2 linked regions of the Coturnix japonica genome follow. The protein of the gene in region 1 binds, or shares a complex with, the protein of each later gene. Links are inferred from orthologs where the notes say so. Each region holds a gene or a part of one and is shown in the gene's direction. Other genes may lie near its edges. The genes, in order: FGFR2 and FGF8.

Region 1 (10,073 bases):
GTAGGGATTTGTTGGCGCTGGAGGGGATCTGAATCCATTTCATATCAAATTTGGTACAGCTCCTTGGCTCTAAGCAAAGCAGAGCTTTTATGCAGAGCAACAGGCAGCTGTGGCTGCAGGCTTTGGGGAAAGGAAAATGAAATTCTTGGGTTCAGTGAATGGACTTTGTGCAAGCAGACTCAATTATAAGAGGGTATTTTATTATTATTTTAATGAAAGTTTTTGAAGTAAACTGTGTGTTTATTTGAAACAAAAATCAGTGTTAAAATCTTCATTTTGGACTTTCATTTTCATTCCTCTTTCCTTCTCCTCCAAATATACAGGGACGGCTTCCAGTAAAGTGGATGGCTCCAGAAGCTCTGTTTGACAGAGTTTACACGCACCAAAGCGATGTGTAAGTGACTTTATTTGTGTAGTCTGGAAGGGCAGGAGGGGAACCTGGTTCACGTTCCTTAAAGTTTGGCATATTTCAGAATGTATTTTCCTGCTATCCTTTCCCTTTAAGCGTTTTCATTTTGTTTCACATATTAATAGATGGAACAGGACTTGCCCTTAGAAAGTGAGGATTTTATGGTAGACTGCTAACCAGTGCTCTGTTACTAATCTGCCTGGCTTCAAAGCACATGAAAGGTGGAAAATGCTAACCTCCTTCTGTCAGTGCGGAAGTTTCCCCCCTTGAACTTATTTACGGATGTGCAGCTACAAAGAGTCTATCTAATTTGCTTGGCTTTCGATGTACTCTGCACTTCCTTCAGGTTAAAAAAAAAACAACACAAAATGAAGAGAGGGAAAAGAAAGAAGAAAAAAAAGAAAAAAGAATCTTGTGAAAATTTGTGCTGTGGTTGTGTACAGTAAAACATAGCCTGGATATACCAGAAGTGCTTTCCCAGATTTTAGAGATGCTGCATCCCAGCAGTGCTTCACATACAGAAGGAAATCATTGGATCTCTGGCACTTCAGGATCTTGTAATGTGCGTGGTGTAGCTGGCTGATGCAACAGCTCCCATAATTCTGCTTCCTATTAAAGTTCCTGGGCCCATCCTCAGTGCTCGCATGCATTGAGCTCAAAGTAAATGTGTATTTTTTACTCAGTGCAGATGAAGATCTTATGCTTTTTATTTGTCCAAGAGAAGCTGTTAGCCGTAAAAGGCTGGATGCTTCCCAGCACAGGTGTAAAAGCTTATGCATGACAGCACAGAGTTAAAATAGAAAGGAGCAGGGTAGAGAAAATAAGAGGTGCCTTCTCCTTTAACTTGGATGCTCTTCTCAAGTTGTTCTCTCCTTAAGAAAAGCATTTACCGAGGCCTTTCCTGCCATCTTTATGTTATTTATGAAGGAAGCTATATACACAGGTTAAGGGTGGAGCCAACTTTTGCTTTAAAATAACATCTTGACAAAATATTTAAGTGAATGTGAAGTAAACGGCTTGGCTGGTTTAGAGCTGGAAGTCATTGTGAGCTCTCAACAAGCGCAGAGCACGGGCATTTCGGTGTTGGAACTGGGAGACGTTTTGGCCCCACGGTGCCTTTGGATAATATTATTGTAAGTTTGTGCAAACAGTTTACTAAAATACACTGCTGCAAAGCTAGCAGAACTGCAGAGCAGCTCGGGGCCAGGGCAGGCTCTGCGCTGTTGCTTACCTGGCAGAGAAGCCTGGCAGTGGGCCCATGGCTGCCAGCGGGACGTGGCGAGGCAGCTCTGGAGGTGGGGAGCAGGCAGGAAAACTGGCTGAAGTTCTCCCTCCTTCGTTTTCTTACCAAACAAATAAACAAATAACTAAATGACTCTGTTTACAGCGGGAAGGCAATTTTCCTAATGCTGTTTTATCTTTCTTTTGCAGATGGTCGTTTGGTGTGCTAATGTGGGAGATCTTCACCTTGGGAGGGTCTCCCTACCCAGGAATCCCCGTGGAGGAACTTTTTAAGCTGCTTAAAGAAGGGCACCGAATGGATAAACCTGCCAACTGCACCAATGAACTGTAAGGACCAAGGGTTGCAGACTGCACTGAAATCATAGAATATCCCGACGTGGAAAGGAGCCATCACACGGTTAATGCTACCCCAGGAGAATGTAGCATTTTCAGAATTGTTGGCTCTGAAATAGTGAATGTGTGTGCATATAGATGTGTATAGAAACACTATGGAAAGGTCTCCAGGAAATGTTTGGTGGAGGACATTTTAAACACCCTGCTGTGATCCCTTTGAAAATGGATGAGCTCATCTATCAGCAAGTCTTTGTCAGTACTTTTAGACCCTTATTTACTCAGTTTGGGTTCATGAAATGTGAAAATTCATAAATGGCACACATAGCCATACCACACACAGACTCTTATCCTGTATAAGCTACAACCAGCTGGTTTTGTACACAAAAAAAGTGCATTTGGGAGCTTTAACATTAGCACAGCACTGTCTACCAGAGATAGTGGGAGAGTGCTTTCCTTTTCTAATACTTCAATATAGCTCTTGATAGCTTTTGCTTTTATCCCCCATTTTAATTTCTTCACTTCACAAAGGCTGCAGTCTGTTACATGATAAAAGATTTAAGCACATGTAATTTAATGCTGCTGAAATGCCACGGTAGAATGCAGACTCAGGTCCACAAAGAGGAAATTCAGATGCTAGGCAAGCATGGATAGAAATAGAGATGCATCTTTTGAGGGAAGTGACAGCATTGTATGGTTTGGGCAGAGGCAGTTGTCCATGTTTAAGACTATGGAGAGCTCGCTGCTTTACTTGTGGTGAAGAATACTGGCTGTGTATGAAAAGGCTTATCAGAAGGATGTGTGATTTTAATTAACCCAAGAAAATGTGCATTTCTTGCAGCTATATGATGATGAGAGATTGCTGGCAGGCTGTACCTTCACAGCGACCAACTTTTAAACAGTTGGTAGAAGACTTGGATCGGATCCTTACTCTCACAACTAATGAGGTACGTAGATTGTTTCCCTCCATAAGCTACTAATCAGGATGAGTGGAATTTATGCAGTTATGAAATCCTGTTCTCTTCTTGCTCTGTTTGTCACCATGCTCTGTAGTTAGAAGCAGCTAAACTATGTATCCTATGAAATCCTCAGTTTCTTGTCATTATGTCTTGGTTTATGTAACAGGACAAACACATCTTTAAAATGTTTTTGTTAATTTCTCTTTGTATTTTTTATGTTTTTAGCATAGTGTTGTTGAGGAAATACACGTGGCAGACTGAGCGGCAATGTTTATATTTCAGCATGAGTTTCGTGTGGAGGAGTGGAGGAGAGTTCATGACGTTTTTCATTTATTAGCTCAGTTTGATTCCCAGCCATGATATCTAGGTCAGAAGAGGAGAAATTGTCAATAGTAGATTTCAGATTGTGTCTGAGAGTGAATTAGGTTCACTAAAGTAGCTCTCGGTGGAGGGAACAAGGGCCCGCAGGGAGCATGTGAACAGCCATCCAATTATCCAAAGGTCCTGCCTAACACTGCTTCAGGTTGGGCTGTATGAATGCAAAAGGGTTTCATCTGAACAGCACTCTTTCAGAGGTCTGAAATATGATTAGTTCTAGCAAGAAACACACTGATTAGCGTATCCACACAGGAATCGGTTCTCTTACTGCTATATCGCAGGCACCTTAGAGGAAGATCACGAGTAATGGAAATATTGATTGTTTTGGTGGGAACTTTGAGAGAAAACGTACCTCAAAAACATGTTACAAATTCCTGTCATTTGGGGCAAGTTATGCAGATGGGGGCTGAGGGGGATGAGAACACTTCAACAGTTCTTCAGTATATTTTATTATAGCACTTCTATATACTAGGGGGTGGGGGAGGAATGTAGAAAAAAGGTTTGCATCATGTTATGTGTGTCACCATTACTTTCTAATTTTTCAGAGTTCTCAGATTTATTTATTTTTTAAAAGATATTCATAGTCTATTCATATGCATATAGGAAAGCCTATACTGCATAAAGATGGTGGGAGACCTTGAATAAGATGCTGTTTTTTATGAACATCATTTATCTAGTAGAGTAAGTCTACACTTCTGGCTGAGAAGATTCTTTGGCTACAGCAGCAGCTATAAATTTATCTGGATTATTTTTCTCCAAAACGTGGCGTTTTCAGGAATGGTTTGGGAATGGGGCAGGAATATGTGCTCCTGACTAAGCCAGCGGCGTAGCTATGTGTACCCTTACAGTTTCTCCCCCATCCAACACTAACTGAATCCCTTCCTGCATCATTTACACACCATACAAGAGCAGTTGGCAGTGGGCTGGCTGCCATCACAGTGTGCTTGGTGGCTTGGAATGCATTTGCAAAGTCGAGAGGGAAGTTCTGGGCTGTAATTCTAAGCCTGGAAGAGGATATTTCTTCCTCTTCTTGTGTGTTTAAGCATCTTGTCTTCCAGTTGTGTAGCGCTTATGGGGCCTGGAAGGATCTCAAAGGTAACCTGAAAAGGCCTTTAGGGTGATGTAAATGACTTTAGGCTCAATTTGTTGGGGAAAAGGTCTGGAAAAAGCTCAGCAACACATCCAGTCCACCTGAGCGGCCTGCAGCAGGATCCAGTGTACATTTATCATGTCTGACGTGTTTGTGTAACTTTGTCTTTGAATGTCTCCACTGCTGCATTTCTGCATTGCCCCACAACAGCCCACTGCTCTGTTTCAATAGTTCTACCTCTTGAAGGCTTTTCCTAATATCTAAGCCTTCATCTTATGACACTGCTTTTGCCCTGGATTAAGAAAGCAAGTTACTTCTCTTGTCTATGAGCTCCAGTGTGTCCCATCTTCTGCCACTGCATGTGGTTTCGAGACCTCTGATTTCAAGTAAGCTGTGCAGTTTAGCTGAAGCACAGCCACTCCATGCCTCAATCTGACCATACTTTTACTCATCCACTCCACCATGGTACCTTGTCTTTCCCACATATGCCATTGTTGATACAGGGTCAACCTGGCTTGCCCAGCAGCTCCAAAATTAGTTTGCCAATAATATGTTCTGCATGTGTGTAAGTGATTATTTTGCCCAAGCCTCATTGAAATCCCAGTGCTGGGGACTTTTTACTGTGGCTATTTATGTTGAACAAGCTGGCTGGAGAGGAGATGGGGATCCCCACCTTCAGTTCTGAGCTCATACTGAATTATACCAAGCCTTTTGATATGACAAGCTGCGTCTGCAGTCCCACAAGAAAGCTTCAAATGCTGGAAGACTTTCTTCTGACTTTCTAGAAAGTGCTCAGTCATTTCTGGTTACACAGGGTTGCATTGCTGCATTGCTTACACGTAAATACATGCCAAGCTTGTCCTTGTGGATCTTTTGAACATCATTGATCCAAACTGCTTTCCCTTGTTGCCTATTACATTTGTTGGCATTTTAAAGCTTACATTTTCCTCCATCTTAAAACAGTGACCATTTTTTAAGCAATAACATGGTCACATTTCTGACTTAAGGGAAAAAAATATCAACGAAAGAATGAAATTACTCCAACCCAAAGCACAGCAGCATAAAGCACCGACTGAGGTGGAGGACTCGTCTCGTCAGTACGATCATAACTTGTGGTTTAGCAAATGAAGAGATTGCATTTAAATGAATGCAGCTGCCTTTAGAAGTTGAAAGAGAAGGAACATTTCAAGGGGGAAAATAACTTTCTTCTCCTGCCAAAACTGTTGTTTCTAACAAAAGAGCCTTAACCCAAAACTTGGATTCAGCAGATATTATTTCCTTTTTTAATGACTGCTTTGGTCATGGCTACTCTCTGGGGCACGCAGGCGTGCACACAGACACACAGAGAAGAAAATGGAGTATAAAGAACCCAATTGAGTGAATTTAATTTTCTTTCAGGTTTTTTTTTTTTTTTTTTTTTTTTTTTTGCACTTATGTCTGCCACTGCATGTTTAAACGCAAAGTTAATATCACGGAATATAAAACAGACATTTAAATTGACCAAAGGAATACAAAGTTGGAAGTATCTTTCCCTCTCCAAATCATTACCACGTGCTGGAGAAAAATGGTTCTATTTAGGATGAAATTTCATTTTTATCATTGTAAGTGAAAAGTCTTCTTTTGATGTGGTTGGCATGTTTATTTCCACTGACGCGGCTAATGTGGATGCCGTTGGACTTGACAAAAGTACTGTGTTATTGGCTTGGCTTTCTTTCTTTATTCAGGCTCCTTGTTTTATGAGATATTTGAGCTACAGGCAGTTTAGAATGCAATTGCATTAGGGAAATGAGTGTTGGTTTTAAACTGCTCTTTTACCCACTGTGTGATCGAGCCAAATCAGAGCAGTTGGAACACACTACTGCCAGTTTTACTCGCTGGTTAAAATCTCAATTGATTTCTTTTGTCACAGGAGTATCTGGACCTCAGCGGACCTCTGGAGCAGTATTCACCTAGTTACCCCGACACCAGGAGTTCGTGTTCTTCAGGTGATGACTCTGTTTTTTCTCCTGATCCAATGCCTTACGAACCTTGTCTTCCCAAGTACCAACACATGAATGGAAGCGTTAAAACATGAAAAGAAGCAAGAACACCAAGCTACCTACCACATACAAAACAACATCTTTTCTCCGGGACCCTAAAATTCTGCCTGTACATATGAAATATGGGAGGAAAAAAGAAAGGAAAAAAGAAAACTTGGAGGAAAGCAGTCAGATCCTACATTAAAGATCTCATAATGTGCAACTTGTATTAAATGTTCCCAAGGAAGAAGAATGTTTATGAGCTGTTTCTAGATACCCATCGCTATTGGTTTTCTGTCTTACCCTAAGCTGCAACAGACTTTGTTTGTACAATGGACCAGTTGGACTTGAGGCAAACTCTGGGTCTGCCTTTCTTGTTTATTTTGTAATATTTGGAGAAAATATATGTTGGCACACACTTACAGAGCACAAATGCAGTATATAGGTGCTGGATGTATGTAAATATATTCAAAATATGTATAAATATATATTATATATATTTACAATGAATTATTTTTTGTATTGATTTTAAAAATGGATGTCCCAATCCACCTAGCAGATTAGTCTCTTTTTTAACAGCTATTTGCTAAATGCTGTTCTTACACAGAATTTCTTAATTTTCACCATCCAAGGGTGGAAAATACTTTGCTTTCAGGGAAAATGGTATATCATTAATTTATTAACTAATTGGTAATGTACAAAACAATTAATCGTTTATAGGGTTGTTGTGTTTTTGTAATTTAAATGGCATTTCTATGCAGGCAGCACAGAGAACTAGTAGGTATATTGCTCAGACTTTACTAGTTTTCAGATCTTTTAAAAGAAAAGAAATATTTACAGTATATAACTAATTTGGGGGAATTAAACTTGTGATTTATTTGTGTTTAAAAACTGCAGTGTCAGATGATGATTCTTATCGAAACCAAATCCTTTAACAAGAATGTCTTTTATTCTCAATACTTGTCACTTTAACAACTTAACTCTTTAGGCGGTGTTTCCCATGGTGAAAATCCAATCATTCCACCAAGAAAGAGAGAAAGAGAGAAAACAATTAGAATGGGTTCCTAAAGTAAGGCAAGTCATTAACTTGTCTATAACCATAGCAGGACGTACAGCTCTAAAAGGAGCTGAGCTTCTACCCTGGGTTGCACATGCAACAGATTAAATAGATTTCTCTTCACTGGGTTGGGTAATAGGTTCCAGATCTTTTGGCCTGGATCTTTTGCCTTTTAGACTATCCCTCTATTGTAGCTTGAAGTTTAAAAAGAGAGAGGTTGTTTATAATGACCGTTTGCCATAGGAATATCAGCATCTTTTTAAAGGATTAATTCATGCTGACTCCAGTATTTCCTTCTGATTCATTCCATAACAGTAGGTATAGCACTGGCCTCTGCTAAAATATCACTGTTGTTTGTATCTTTGTACGGAAGTCTTGTGTTTGTACTTTCAGATCCCTCACACTGATATGGCCATGCGATATGAATGCAAATTACACTGTTTTATGTGTGTTGTTGTTGTTGGTTTTTTTTAATTGGGTAAAAGAAGTATTAAAATCTGTTAACTTTTGTACTGACAATAAAATGTTTCTACAGATATTAATGTTAAAATTACAAAATAAATGTCATGCAGCTTATTTTTCCTAATCCTTTGTGTCATACAAAATGGTTTCCTGAACATTGAGTGATGGAACGCATCCAGAAGCGCTTCCTTCTGCCCTTATCAAAGAAGGGCATTTCATATCACATCCCCAAAGCAGTTCCTTCAGGAATGGTATTTAAACAAACAAAAAAATACTAACTGATGGAAAGAAAACAGACCTTGTAGAAAGAATATATATATATGTATGCATATATATATGTGTATATGTATATATTCCTTTTATCTTGCAAACAAGTAAAAGGGAGATTGAGTAAAGTAGCTCATGCTGCTTGAGTGAAGGGAACGTTCTGCTCACATTACTCTTGCCGCTCACTCAGAGAAGGGTCTTTTCCACATACTACAGAAGCCTGTCAAGGTTGACCAGTGTAATGGAAAGGAGTCATTTAATAATGTAAAACTGTGTATTTAATATGTTTTCATTTTAGGTTGTTGGGGTTTTTGGTGGGCCTTTTCTGTGTTCGTATTTGTTTTAACTCACAAAGATAAAGATTTGGACCTTGGAGATGGACCACAGCTTTACAAACTGGCTGAAGCATATTGCACCATTCTCCTTATTCCAGTTTTACAGTGTGACCCCTGGATTAAGGTTTTGTTATTTTCTGATATCTGAAGATTTTCTCCTCTGAGTGCACTGTTTATATAGAGTACAACACAGAAGCCTTCAGTTAATGATGGAGAAGTAGAAAACTGAATATGGAGTTGCAAGAGGAGATTGGAGAGCAGGAAATAAAGCCCAGAATTTGTCCAAAGTGGGGATGTTCTTTATTGAAGCAGCACCTTGGGCTCTTTCAATGAGAAGGAGGGGTTAGGAGTTTGGATTGCTGTCTCATGTAAAAATAAAATCGCCACTGATAAAATAGGAGCAATAATGAAGAGTAGCCCTACGTCAGAAAACGGATTTATACTGATGTGGGGAATGAGATTTATGCTCTGTGTTTAATCACTGTTTCCTGCAGCATCTAATTGTCTTGTCTCACATTGAAGTATTGATTCAAATCAACTCTGTAGTGTGTGAGAAAATACGGATGTAGAAGCCCAGGTTAATGTGGCTGAAATACGTGAATAAGTTACTGCATATTTTGTTTCTCACAACTTGATTGTAATGCAGCAAGCAGTGTGTGGGCTTTATACAGCAGGTGAGAAGGCAACGTTTGTCATTTTATCTGTTGATTTGATGTCGCTTGATATCTGTTCAATTGAAGTGTTGAACTGCGTCGTGCATTTCAAAGATGCTTTGTTGTCCGAGGATGAGCAGGTTTACTGTTTTGTTACAGGAATAACATGAGCAAAACTGTATAAAGTACTTTCCATGTCTGTTGAAAGGATATCCAGAAAAGAGCACCGGATTAAGGATGAGAGCCGTCAGTTGTATCAGGGAATAGAAAGAAAGAAATGATTGACAGTGAGAGCAACATGACATTGGGATAAGCTGCCTGGAGAAGTGTTGGAGTCTGTCTCACTGTAGATAGTGAAGACTTGGCTTGGCAGGGTTTGGGTATCCTCATCTGAGGCCCTACTTCAACACGAGGTTGGCCAAGATGATCTCCAGGGTCCCTTCCAGCTGACAATTTCTATGATCCTGCACTACTGGCCAAAGGAAAGCTGTACTGGCTCATGTTAAATTTGTCAGTAGGATGTATTGAGTAAATTCAGTTCAGTGATGCATTTAACGAGAGAGATTCCTCTCTATTAAGACATTTGGATTTTAAGAACCAGGTCCTGGCTTGCCTGTAATTATTATGGCTGCCAAAGACTTTCTGACTTGGAATAATTATGCAGCAAAAAACACTGTTTTGTCAAAAAAACAAACAAACCCTCTCAAGCACGAGTGCTTTGCAGAGATGAAGTATTTCGACCTTATCAGAGTGGCATGACCCTATCAGAGTTATCTTGTCAGAAGGAAATGAAGTCATTTGTGTTGGGTTTATTTCATAGTAGGAGATAATACATGAAGTCAAAATGAAATACGTTGATTTTTGTCCAAACAG
Region 2 (10,595 bases), about 7.7 Mb from region 1:
CAGCCCCCCTGGCTCTGCAGTGCCTCGTGTATCTCTTCCCCAGCAGCAGCGGGAAGCAGCATCCTCCCTTGCAGGGTGGTGCTGTGGGAGCTGACTTCTGCTGTGATTTGAGGGAGGTTCCGGGTCGCTCCGCTTTGTAGGACGGTTTTTACACACTGAATAAAGGTGGGGGTTTGGTGCGGAGGCTGCCAGGTTCCTCCCGTGCTCGGCGGTGTCGCTGATCCCTGCAGGGAAACCGAGGCGTGTTGGGGACGTGTGACATCGTACGGGGCCCAGGAGGCCGGGGGGGGACGGGGGAGGGCTCCGGGTCGCTCCTCGGGGGCCGCTAGGTGGCAGGCAGGCAGCGCGGCGACCGTGCCTTAAAGAGGGGATGGGGTCCGGGCAGCCCTGGACCGGAGGAGTGGGAGGGTAGAACGGGGTGAATGGAGCCCAGCAATGCACGGCCAGAGCGTGCGGGACCTCGTAGGTGTCCTCGGGTGTTTGGAGCCTTGGTCTTGCTCGCTCGCTGGGGCAGATAAGAGCCTGTAGATCATTTTTAACAAGCTCTCCTGCCAGGCTGGGCTGGGGGAGCAGCTGGTGCGGGGTGAGGAGAGAGTGGTACCGGGAGGGAGAGGTTATGCAGGCTGACGTCAGATGGCATTTGGGATCTTATCGGATAGAAGGAGGATGCCGAGGTGCTGGTTGTCTGAGGGGCGCTGGGACAAGGGGCTGTGGCAGGAGGGGTAGTTCTGTGAGAAGGAATGACCCAGAGGGGCTGGGGCAGCTGGCACTGCCAGGCGCTCTCAGTGCCTTGGAAAGGTTTGCTCCCCCTGCCCAGCAATGTCTCAGCCTGGATGCGCTCGGGAGAGAGGGAGATAAATGCTGGGATGGCAGGGGGCTGGGAGGGGGGCTGTTAATGGGGAAGGATGGAATTACAGGGGTCACGCTAGGTGAGCAGCTTCCTTTGCCGAGCTGATTGTATCGGAGCAGGTGCCACCGGCCACAAATACCTTGGGCAAACAAACAGGGCTGAAGGAGAGCGGGTGAGCTCAGGTACAACTGTGCTGGGGTGCGTGGGAAGGGGAGCGTGGGATCAGGGGGGTGGCTCTGAGCATCCCTCCTCCCTGGGGCTGTGTTCTGGGGTGCTGTGCGATACATCCCAGGGGGTGGATCCCTCCCTGCTATAACATCCCCGGGACACTGACCCAGGGCAGCCCATGCGAGGCACAGCTGTGGCCGTGCTGTAGGTGGGGCTGGTTCCCTGCTCCATCAGTGCTCCGCTTCTCACTTTGCTTTTCTCCTCGGGTACCGGTGGCTGAATGGATGCCCAGCACAACCAGGGCTGTGGGGCGCAGCTGGGGTAGTGCCTGGTGATGATGGAGCACAGATCGTGCTGTGAGACAGACCCAAAGCCATACGCACCCAGGGCAGGTGTTAGAAGTGAACATGGTTGGGTGGTGTAGGACAGCTGCAGTCCGTGCCCACTGCTGCACAGCAAGAATTTCCATCTGCTCAGCACAGCTCTGCCACGCTGTCCCCTCCTGCATCCCTAGGCAGCGATGGCAGCTTTGCACCCAACAGCCACAGCTGAGATACCCTGGGGTCACAGGTGCTCTGCCCTCTGACCCTTCTAATCGCTGCAGGCTGGGATGGCTCTGGTGCTGGCAGAGCTGTCACCGCTGGCCACAACTCCCTGCCAGGGCTGGTGGCAGCAGGGCTGAGCCCAGTGGGATTTAGGGGTGTCCGGACCTGCTGTTCTTCTGTTCTTAGGGGAGATGGGCAGGATTTGGTGCCTGTGGTGGGAACTGGAGGGATGAGCTCGGGTAAGTCCACGGGGCTGGTCCAAAGAGCAGCAGGTGCGATGGGGAGTGTGCCCACCTTGCCCCTCCTCTGGGCTTGGCTCTCGCTTGTCCCCATGCTTGGGGCTGGTTCCCCAGGATGAGGTTGGGATGAGCAGCATCTCCACCGGGCTGTGGTGTCCAAGGGGCCATAACCCTGATGTTTTGCAAACTCCTGGGGTCAGCAGTTCAGCTGCCACTGACACAGGGGCCTGGAGACACACACACGGGCATTTTGGGTGGATGCTATAAGCAAACAAATGGAGGTAGTGTTACAGCCAGCCGACAGCCCCCTGGCCACCACTGTTGGTTTTAGGCTTAGCCCCCCCACAGGGCTGGGTGCAGGAATCCTTTTCCCAGGAGGACCCAAACCGAAGTCAGATGTGCTGCAGGGCAAGAGGAAGGTGCTGGGTGGGCTGTGCCAGATAGCAGCACGCTGGGAGCAGGTCTTGGGGCTGCTGTCTGATCTGTGCTGGGAGCAGGGATGGGGTAGAGCTGCTCAAGCACCACATGTGCTTATTCTCATCTGCATGTCTCCATTTTCCCATGTCCAAGGCCCACCGTACCTCTGCTCGGGCTGATGTGTACAGAGAAGATGGACACCAAAATGCCCAACCTCATGTTTAAATCACTCAGGGCTGGGGCTGGGACCTTTACCAGTTCTCCCTCCTTGGAGGTGTGTGTGGCCTGGGAGTCCTCCTTCTCATTGCTGCCCCCTTTCCCCCATAGCTCGTGGGCACTCTCTGGTCTTTACCCATGTCCCTGGCTCACCTCCAGTCCCTCCCTCTGTGTCTACCTAATGGGGCCACACCACTGTGGTTGGTCCTGTGCAGGGTGTATGCAGCCCCATGCTGCTGTTCTCCTGTCCCAACATTCCCACCACTCTCAGCCCTGGTGCCACTCACTGAACGGGGAGCAGTTGTACCCCCCTCCCTGTTCCTGGAGCTGTGGGTAGTGCAGACAAGTTCATTCCCACGCATGGTGGTGGGGTCTGGCCCTTGGGGGGATGCTGAGTTAATGGTGAGTGGTGGGATCGCCCCGGGCTGCTCAGCACCACTCAGCCATGGAGGAGAGCTGCTGCCTCCACAACGCCCCATTAATGCTGCGGGCAGGAATGGGGAGGGTGAGAGCAGGGGGAGTGGTGTCCCTTTGGCTCCGCTGGGGGGGGTCTCTGTGTGCCTGCTTGGAGATGTGTGGCCGAGCATCCAGACCTGCAGCCAGGAGCTCCTCTCACCCTCAGATGGGTGCTGAAGTGCCCCCTGCAGGTGCTGCTCTCCTCCATCAGCTGGGGTTGGTGCTGTGATCCCTGTACCAGCAGTGCTGGGGGGTTGTGGGGAACTGCAGCCACAGCTTCTCTGGCAGAAGGGGCCCCTCTGGGCTGACTTGCTCACTCTTCAGGGCTGTGGGTAGAGACGGTGCTGGAGCAGGGACACTGCTGAGCTGTGGAGGCTGTCAGGGATGTTGTGTGATGGAGCAAACAGAGGAGCAGGACGGCCCGTCTGCTGTCTGCTCCGTGGTTCAGCCCAGCTGGGGCAGCCCTGGTATCTCCTTCAACCACCAGCAGCCTGACCACAGGCTGCCTTCCTGGGCAATCTCCATTAGCCATGGCAAGGCAAGAGGGTGATCTGGGGGATAAAATCCTGACCTGAGTATCCCCAGCTCTATGGAAAAGGAGAGCAGAGCTCACATCTCTGTGGGTGTTTGATGCTTCACTCACAGCATTCAGTACTGAGACCCGATGGGGCCGTGCTGGCTGCCTGCCCCAGGAGTGACCGCTGTGGCAGCAGGAACACCGCAGATCCGTGGCTCCTTGCTGGGACGGGATTTCTCCCCCCGCCCTATGGCAGCTCAGCCCAGTGCCTCAGGCTGAGCTTTCTCTGCCCAGCAGGAGAGCCAGACGTGAGCCCAGTGCTCAGCTCCCCGCCCCGTGGCATTGCTCACCTGCACAAAGTTGGGGAAGGACGGGGCAGCAGCAGGAGCCTGTTTGTCATTGTGTCGGTGACGTGCGGCCGCCCGTGGGTGATCCCCGTGTCACAGCCGTGCTGCCACTCGAGCCTGTTTGTTGAGGGCAGGGGGCACGTGGAGCTGTCAGCCCCCGGCTGCCTCCCACCCCCCAGCACAGCATCAGTTGGACACGGTGCAGTTGTGCGCTCTGTGCACTGCATGGTGCTGCATGGCCTGACCCTGCGCCCACGGAGGGGTGAGCACGAGTGGCATCTGGGAGAGAGGTGCTGCATCCAGACCCCTTTCCTTGCAATGTATAAGAAAGGAAGGATTGCTCCACTGCAGGGTGGTGGGAGCACCTTGTGCTGCCTGCTCTGGTGCTCAGCTTGTGGGCACGGAGCTGCCTTGCACCCTGGGTTGGTGCAGGGGGCTGAGCACCCCCAGAGCCCGCCCTGCAGCCCCCTGGGTGAAAGCGGGCCCAGCCTGGGGCTTCTCCAGCCATTCAGGAAAGCCCTTCAGAAACATCCTCCGGTCTTTTGCACAGAGAAGAAGGGGGCAGCAAGGTGTGGTGGCCGCTCCCAGCGCCTGGTGGTGGGTGAGCCTCGGGGGGTGATGGTGGGCAGCGTTTGGGGGCAAAGCATTGGAGGGTGCCCGAGCAAGGGGGGAATGAGCAAGCTGCGGTGTGCGGGCAGGGCAGGGAGGGCTGTGCGGGGCTGCAGGGTGCGTGTGTGCGTGTGTGTGTGTGTGTGTGTGTGTGTATGTGTGTGTGTGCGTGTGTGTGTGTGTGTGTGTGTGTGTGTGTGTGTGTGTGTGTATGTGTGTGTGTGTGTATGTGTGTGTGTGTGTGTGCGTGTGCCGGTGCGGGAGGGCCGCGCAGGAGCGCTGTGTGTGCGCTGTCACTCAGAGGCCGGCTGACAGGAGCTGCCTTTCCAGCGGCGGCAGATAGCGCTGATTGCTGATTCGAGGAAACAAAATAGCAATTGTAATTATGGGCTCTGATAAGATAAAGGAGGGCGCGGGGAGCGCGGGGACCGGCAGCGGGGCACGGCCGGCAAATTAGCGGCTGTCACTCAGCGCGGAGCAGGCGGCCCCGGCCAGGTACCGGCCCCGGGGTCCCGCCCGTCAGCCGCAGCCCCGCCGCAGCCCCCGCCCCGGTGCGCAACAGGTGGCGGGGCCGGGAGCAACGGGGCTCGCCGAACAATGCAGCCCTCGGCGGCCCTACCCGGGCTGCGGGGCTGAGCCCCGACCCGCCGCGGCCCCATGGCCCCGCGCAGCCGGTGCTGACGGACGGCCGCCCCTCCAGGTAAGAGCCCGGCGGGGACGTCCGGGGAAGGGAAGGGAAGAGGGGGGGGTCCCGCCGCCCAGTACCCCCGGCTGCGCTGTTTGCTCAGCCTCTCGAAACTCCTGCCCACCCCTCCGCCCCGGTAATCCTTTTAATGTCTGGCACGTCCAGCGAGAGGGCTCGGCCCCAATCCACAACGCGGACCCGTAAGCCACGTTTTACAGATGGGGAAACTGAGGCACGGCGCGGGGACGGCATCCCTCCGCCGGCCGAGCCCGTAGTGCCGCCACCCCCGAGCGGCCGCTGCCGGAGGTTCCCTTGCTCCGCCGGGGCCGCCCCCCGGGCTCTCCGCCCCCGCCGCCTCCCGGGCCGGCAGCGGAGCGGAGCGGGGCGGGGGGCTCCCCGCGGCGGGGGGCTGCCGGCCGCGCTCCCCCGGGGGCTGGGCGGGCGGGCCGGCGGGGGCCTTTCCCCTTCTGTAGCCGCTTGTGCCCTCCTTTCCTCGGGGCGAGGCAGGGCGAGAGGAGTCGAGGAGCCGAGCAGAGCCGCGCCCCCACCCCACCGCCGGGCTCCGGGCTGCCGGCCCCGCAGCGCTCCGCTATGGACCCCTGCTCTTCGCTCTTCAGCTACGTGTGAGTACCGCAGCCCTCCCTCCGCCTGCCCCCAGCCCTCCCTCCTTTCCTCCCCGCAGCCCCCCGGCTCACATCTCTCTCCCGTTTTCTGTCCACCCCCCCCTCCAGGTTCATGCACTTGTTCGTCCTCTGCCTGCAAGCCCAGGTAAGCTCCCGCTCCGCCGCCGGCTTTGTTCGCCCCTCGGGGCTGGGGGTCGGGACGGGGGGTTGGCTTAAAGTCCCTCAGACGACGCGAGCCCCGCTGGAAAGAGCCGGGAGCGGGCGGCTGCGCACCGGCTGCGGGATGGGGTGCGGGGGTGGGAGGACCCCTCGCCCACCCTGGTTGCAGGGGCTTCGGCCGTTCGGTCCTCCCGTTCTTCTTCAAATCGCACTACGGATCGGCCCTTCCTCTCGTGTGGGGGTGTTTTTTCATCTGAAAAGTAAAGTAGAATCGAGATAAAAGCGTCGGGGTGGAGGAAGAAAAAAGGGGAGAATAAAGGAAAAGGTGGGGGGGAGGAGAGGAAGAAAAGAGAAAAGGGAAGGAAAAGGGGAAGGAGGGAAAGAAAGTCCATTTCCTTACTAAAAAGCGTAGATTTCAGTCCAGCTGAACGTTGCTGCTGCTGGTTGGCATCGCCGGGGCCAGGAGTGTCAGCAGGAGATGGGGCTGCGGCTGTGTGTGCAAAGCGGGGTGAAACCCCCTCCCCCGAGGCCACAGGTGCAGAAGCGTTTTGAAAACGCTCCTTAAGCCGCTTTTTATTATTATTATTGTTATGATTATTTCATTGGAAGCTCAGGAGGAAAAAAAAAAAAAAATGGAGTTTCCAGCCCCAAAGCAAAAAGGAGTGTGCGGTTGTATAAAACATAGCTGTAATATTTTGGAGGACGAGACGGAGCGGCACGGCTAATGACCTCTCCTCCACATGGTACCCTCATCAGGGCCGGGAGAGTCCGTGCGTTATCCGCAGGCGGCTGAAGGAAAGGCGCGGAGGCAGAGGGGTGGCACTGGAGAGGGGAAATGTCGGTGTAGGGGCGGCTGCGGGAGAGCGGCGGCTCCGGCTTTTATTGGGGTCTGCTGGTGGTGGGGAATCTTCCCGTTTGACGTGGGGGTAGCGGGGGGGTCCCGGCCTGCTGGTGTTGAAAGGATCGACCCGCTAACATTTGCTCAGAATACGTCTTTATAAATGTCAGTGAGCAGCGAAACTTTCCGGACTTAAAAGAGGGGATGGAGACGAGAAGGGAAAGGAGCCCTGTGCTGGGGATGGGGGAAGCGGATCGGGCTGAATTGCTTGTGTCTGGGGAGCAGAGGGTCTGGAGGAGTTGGGTCGGCTGCTGCTATGGGGCCGGGGGTCAGCACTGGGATGGGGATGGCACCGGGATGGGGGTGAAGGTGAAGGATGGCTCACACGTCGGTAACGGTACTCCTTGGGGTTTGTGTTATAGATACCCCGTGAGGGGAGTGGAGTCTTGATGGCTCATAGCTCTACCTCATCTGTGGGTTTGGGGCATGAAGAGCAGGGTGTTTTGGGGAAAGGGGGTCCTGGAAGCTGCATACCCCATCTCAGGTACCTCCATATGAGCTGGGACCCACTGAGTCCTAGTGGACACTGGGAGTCCCTGAGCTCCTTCATGTCCCCAAGACACCCACACTCATCTGGGGGATCCCGGTCCCCAAAGGGCTCAGCTCCCCCCCGTCCCACTGACTCTGCTCCTCCTCTGCAGGCGCTGGTGATCCTTGCTCAGCCCGTTCTCCCCTCTGAGGAGTAGAGATTATAATGGTGTGTCGTATATTTTTTAATTTCCTAAAGGTAACTGTTCAGTCCCCACCTAATTTTACACAGCATGTGAGGGAGCAGAGCCTGGTGACAGATCAGCTCAGCCGGCGGCTCGTGCGCACCTACCAGCTGTACAGCCGGACCAGCGGGAAGCACGTGCAGATCTTGGACAACAAGAAAATCAATGCGATGGCAGAGGACGGGGATGTGCACGGTAAGGAAGGACGCGGCCGGGGGGGCTAAGGGGGGGGCTGGGAGGTGTCCTCAGTGCTGTGTGCCGATTGATGGTTTCCGTCCTGTTGGTTGAGCAGAAATCATTAGGATCGTTTGGAGTGTGTGGGGGTTTGTGAAGGGAGAACAGCGGGGTCAGCGCTCAGTGGGTCTGGGTGCTTGTGGGGTGGGTGCTGCTCAGTGCTGCTGTGCACCTGACTTGCAAGGCTCAGTTTGGCACAGGCAGCACTGAGCGTCTCTGATTCTTCCTTTGGAGGAGAAACAGAGGGCAAAGTTGGAAAAGAAAAGAAGTGAGGGGGGTTGAAATTGTAGGTGAAGTGCTGTTCTGGAGTCCTGCCCTGAGTTAGAGACATCCGAAGCGGTGTTTCCCCCACGTACCCCCTGTGCTTCCCCTTTCTGAGCAAGGAGTGTGGGCTCAGTGAGGTGCTGACTGCAGGTGAGGAGGAGACAAAGCTGGGGGGCTCAGCAACTGTGTGCAGCCCTCCTGCTGCTGTGCTGCTCTTGGCACCATGTGTCCCCCCAGGCCATGGTTCTCTGGGGAGGAAAGCAGTGCCACGCTGCAGCCACCCAAAGCCAGGGCACCTTCACCATGTGTGCTGGTGTCACACCAGGAACAGTGGTGTCAACTCCATCCGCGCTGAGTGGGGCACTGCACCCCATTCCCTTGTGGGCAGGAGGTGCCCATGTCAGCGTGTGCCGTATGGAGCCATCCCAAGTGTTGTTCTTTGGCATTAGCTGCAATTTCCCTTTCTTGTTGAGGGAGATTAGTAGGAGCACTTTGCTTCCTTCCCCGACTGGTTTGGTGTTGGGTTTTTATTCCCCTTTTTCCTTTGGCTGCCAATGTTGCACCAAACTTCAGCTGTGCGTGGAATCCCATGTGCTGCATTAGCAGGGAGCCACTCCGGGATGGAAGGGGTGTCAGCCAACTTCCCAAGCAAAAGGGCCGAACAACCCCCAAAGCCTCCTCTGGCTTTAGCCCTGTAACGCCTGCGTTTTCAAGGCAGCTCCACACCTCCAGGAGCGGCCAGGTTTAAATAAGGCCAAAAGGAGGGGACACGCGGCGGCGGCTCGAAAAACTCTATTAAAACGTAATAAAAGAGGTGAAGCATCTGAGGAGCGGGGCAGGAAAACGAGGGCTGATCTAAAGCAGAAAGAGAACAAGCAGTTTTTCAGATGTAAAGTTTTAGGAGTTGCAAGTCTGTAAATGTTAAAATAGAGGTTCGGGATTGTTCTATATGAATCTCCAGGGAGGCCCCCATGTCTGGAAGAGCTATTAAATCGCTTCTTACTTTCACCTTTTTTAACATTTCCTGAATACTTTCTCCTCTTCGCAGTCCAGTTGGGGGATCAAGTGTGTCTCGCTGCATTTTTTCAGCATTTACGTAGCCGCTTTCCCTTCAAAGTTTGAGTATGAAACATAACTTTTCTGGGATAAATCTGTCACTTCAGTGAAAGAGCAGAGTTGAAAATGTTAAGCTCCCTCTGTCCCTTAAACAGGGAGAAAAAGGGTCTCCCCGAAACCTTTGTCAGAAGAAAGCCCCCTTCGTTAGCAAAGGCCCTTCCTTCTGCTGCACTGGTTTCTTTTCCCATCTGATTTTTGGGGCGGGAGGAAGGCGCTGATTTATTTTTGCGGGTGACCCCTCTCCCCACGCTGACGTTTTTACAGCCGACTTCACATGGAGCCCGGCGCTCTCCGTTATCTGTCTTAATTGTCAATATCTGATGGACTCCTTCTTGGCCCCGGCAGCGCTGCCGGCTCCTCTCATGGTGCAGTCGATCCATTCACCCTCTGTGGTCCCTTCGCTCGGGGCTGTCCCCATCTTGCAGGGTGATGGCTGTGACTCTGGGGCCAGAGGGGAGAACCACGCATCCATGCCTGCCTTCCTCCTCCCTCCCTCCCTGCTTTTCCTATCTCTGGGAGAGAGCAGGGAAAAATCAATTCTCCTCAAAGCTTGGACTGCCTCCCAGATCAATCCTTCCCCCATACTGGTGAATGGGGATCCCTGGCTCAGTGCTCTGGGAATGCTGAGCCCCTACAAGGGGCTTGTGTGGGGTGAGAGTGGCCAGATTTCCCTGGGCTGGGGCTGCAGGATGGTGCAGGGGGTGCTGGAGGTGAGGAGCTGTGGGGGGCAGTGGGAGAAGTCCCCACGCTTGATGCAGGATCAAGACATCATGGAGACAGGCAGTGATTTATTTGTGGTCCTGAAGCACTGCTCAGGCTGGGTTTAGTTAGCACGCGGCCTGGGTCTGCCATCCAGCAGCATTGCTTCAAAGCCACTGCAGGGCTGGGGGCTGTTGGTGAAAGCGAGCTGCATAGTGGTCTTGAGGAACTGAGCACCCCATCTGCAGAGCTGGGAGAACAGGGGCACCCTGTGGGACAGAGGCTGTGTGCTCTGATTGCCCTCTGAAGTTGGGCGGGCAGCAGTGAGGGCTGGTGTGTGGCAGGATGTGGTGGTGAGGTGGGACAGCCCTGGATGGCTTTTTGTGGGGAAGCCTTTGGCACCTGGCTCAGCATGGCCCCGCTGCTGCTGTTGGATTTGGGGTTTGCTCTGGAGGAGAGCTGCTGGAGGGCTGCAGGGCGGGGAGGAGGATGCTCTGTTCCCAGGGTGGCTGCAGTGGGGAAGGTGACAGACCTATTTATAGGCGGCCCATCGACCCAGCGATTTGCATAGCTCCTTCGGAAGTCAATCGATGCCTCCATTAAAAAACTGAGACCAAATCAATATGCCCTCTCGACTCGCACAAAGGTGAAAGGCATTAAAAGGATGGCCGTACCCTTCACGCCTCTCCTGCCAGCTGCAAAGTCACTGTTCCTCCTGCAGCCCCAGCTCGGCACGGTGTCCCCATGGGCTGGGGACAGCTGGCAGAGCACTGTGCAGGGCAGCTGGTTTGTCCCCTGCGTTCCCTTTTTCCTCCTGGGATGTTCCCATGGCATCTGAGG

What was found.
Region 2: the proteins of FGFR2 (region 1) and FGF8 are in contact, whole or in part, in a crystal structure (PDB 2FDB), measured with the Homo sapiens proteins. The link is inferred for Coturnix japonica from reciprocal best matches to the Homo sapiens genes FGFR2 and FGF8. Residues at the interface, in NP_000132.3 of Homo sapiens: Glu160, Lys161, Glu163, Lys164, Leu166, His167, Ala168, Val169, Pro170, Asn173, Asp247, Val249, Arg251, Ser252, Ser282, Asp283, Ala284, Gln285, Pro286, His287, Ile288, Gln289, Ile291, His293, Leu309, Val311, Leu312, Lys313, Ala314, Ala315; in NP_149354.1 of Homo sapiens: His53, Val54, Gln57, Asp62, Leu64, Ser65, Arg66, Leu68, Ile69, Arg70, Tyr72, Tyr75, Arg77, Gly80, His82, Val106, Glu107, Thr108, Thr110, Phe111, Gly112, Ser113, Val115, Thr148, Glu149, Ile150, Val151, Leu152, Glu153, Asn154.

What each region holds. Positions count from the first base shown.
Region 1 is NC_029521.1:27,518,588-27,528,660, reverse strand, and holds the end of FGFR2 (fibroblast growth factor receptor 2), read left to right. Parts: intron 1-323; coding exon 324-394; intron 395-1,840; coding exon 1,841-1,978; intron 1,979-2,822; coding exon 2,823-2,928; intron 2,929-6,317; coding exon 6,318-6,482; 3' UTR 6,483-8,069; downstream 8,070-10,073. UniProt on the Homo sapiens protein: Tyrosine-protein kinase that acts as a cell-surface receptor for fibroblast growth factors and plays an essential role in the regulation of cell proliferation, differentiation, migration and apoptosis, and in the regulation of embryonic development.
Region 2 is NC_029521.1:19,850,696-19,861,290, forward strand, and holds the start of FGF8 (fibroblast growth factor 8), read left to right. Parts: upstream 1-4,601; 5' UTR 4,602-5,064; intron 5,065-5,556; 5' UTR 5,557-5,640; coding exon 5,641-5,672; intron 5,673-5,780; coding exon 5,781-5,817; intron 5,818-7,456; coding exon 7,457-7,637; intron 7,638-10,595. UniProt on the Homo sapiens protein: Plays an important role in the regulation of embryonic development, cell proliferation, cell differentiation and cell migration. Required for normal brain, eye, ear and limb development during embryogenesis.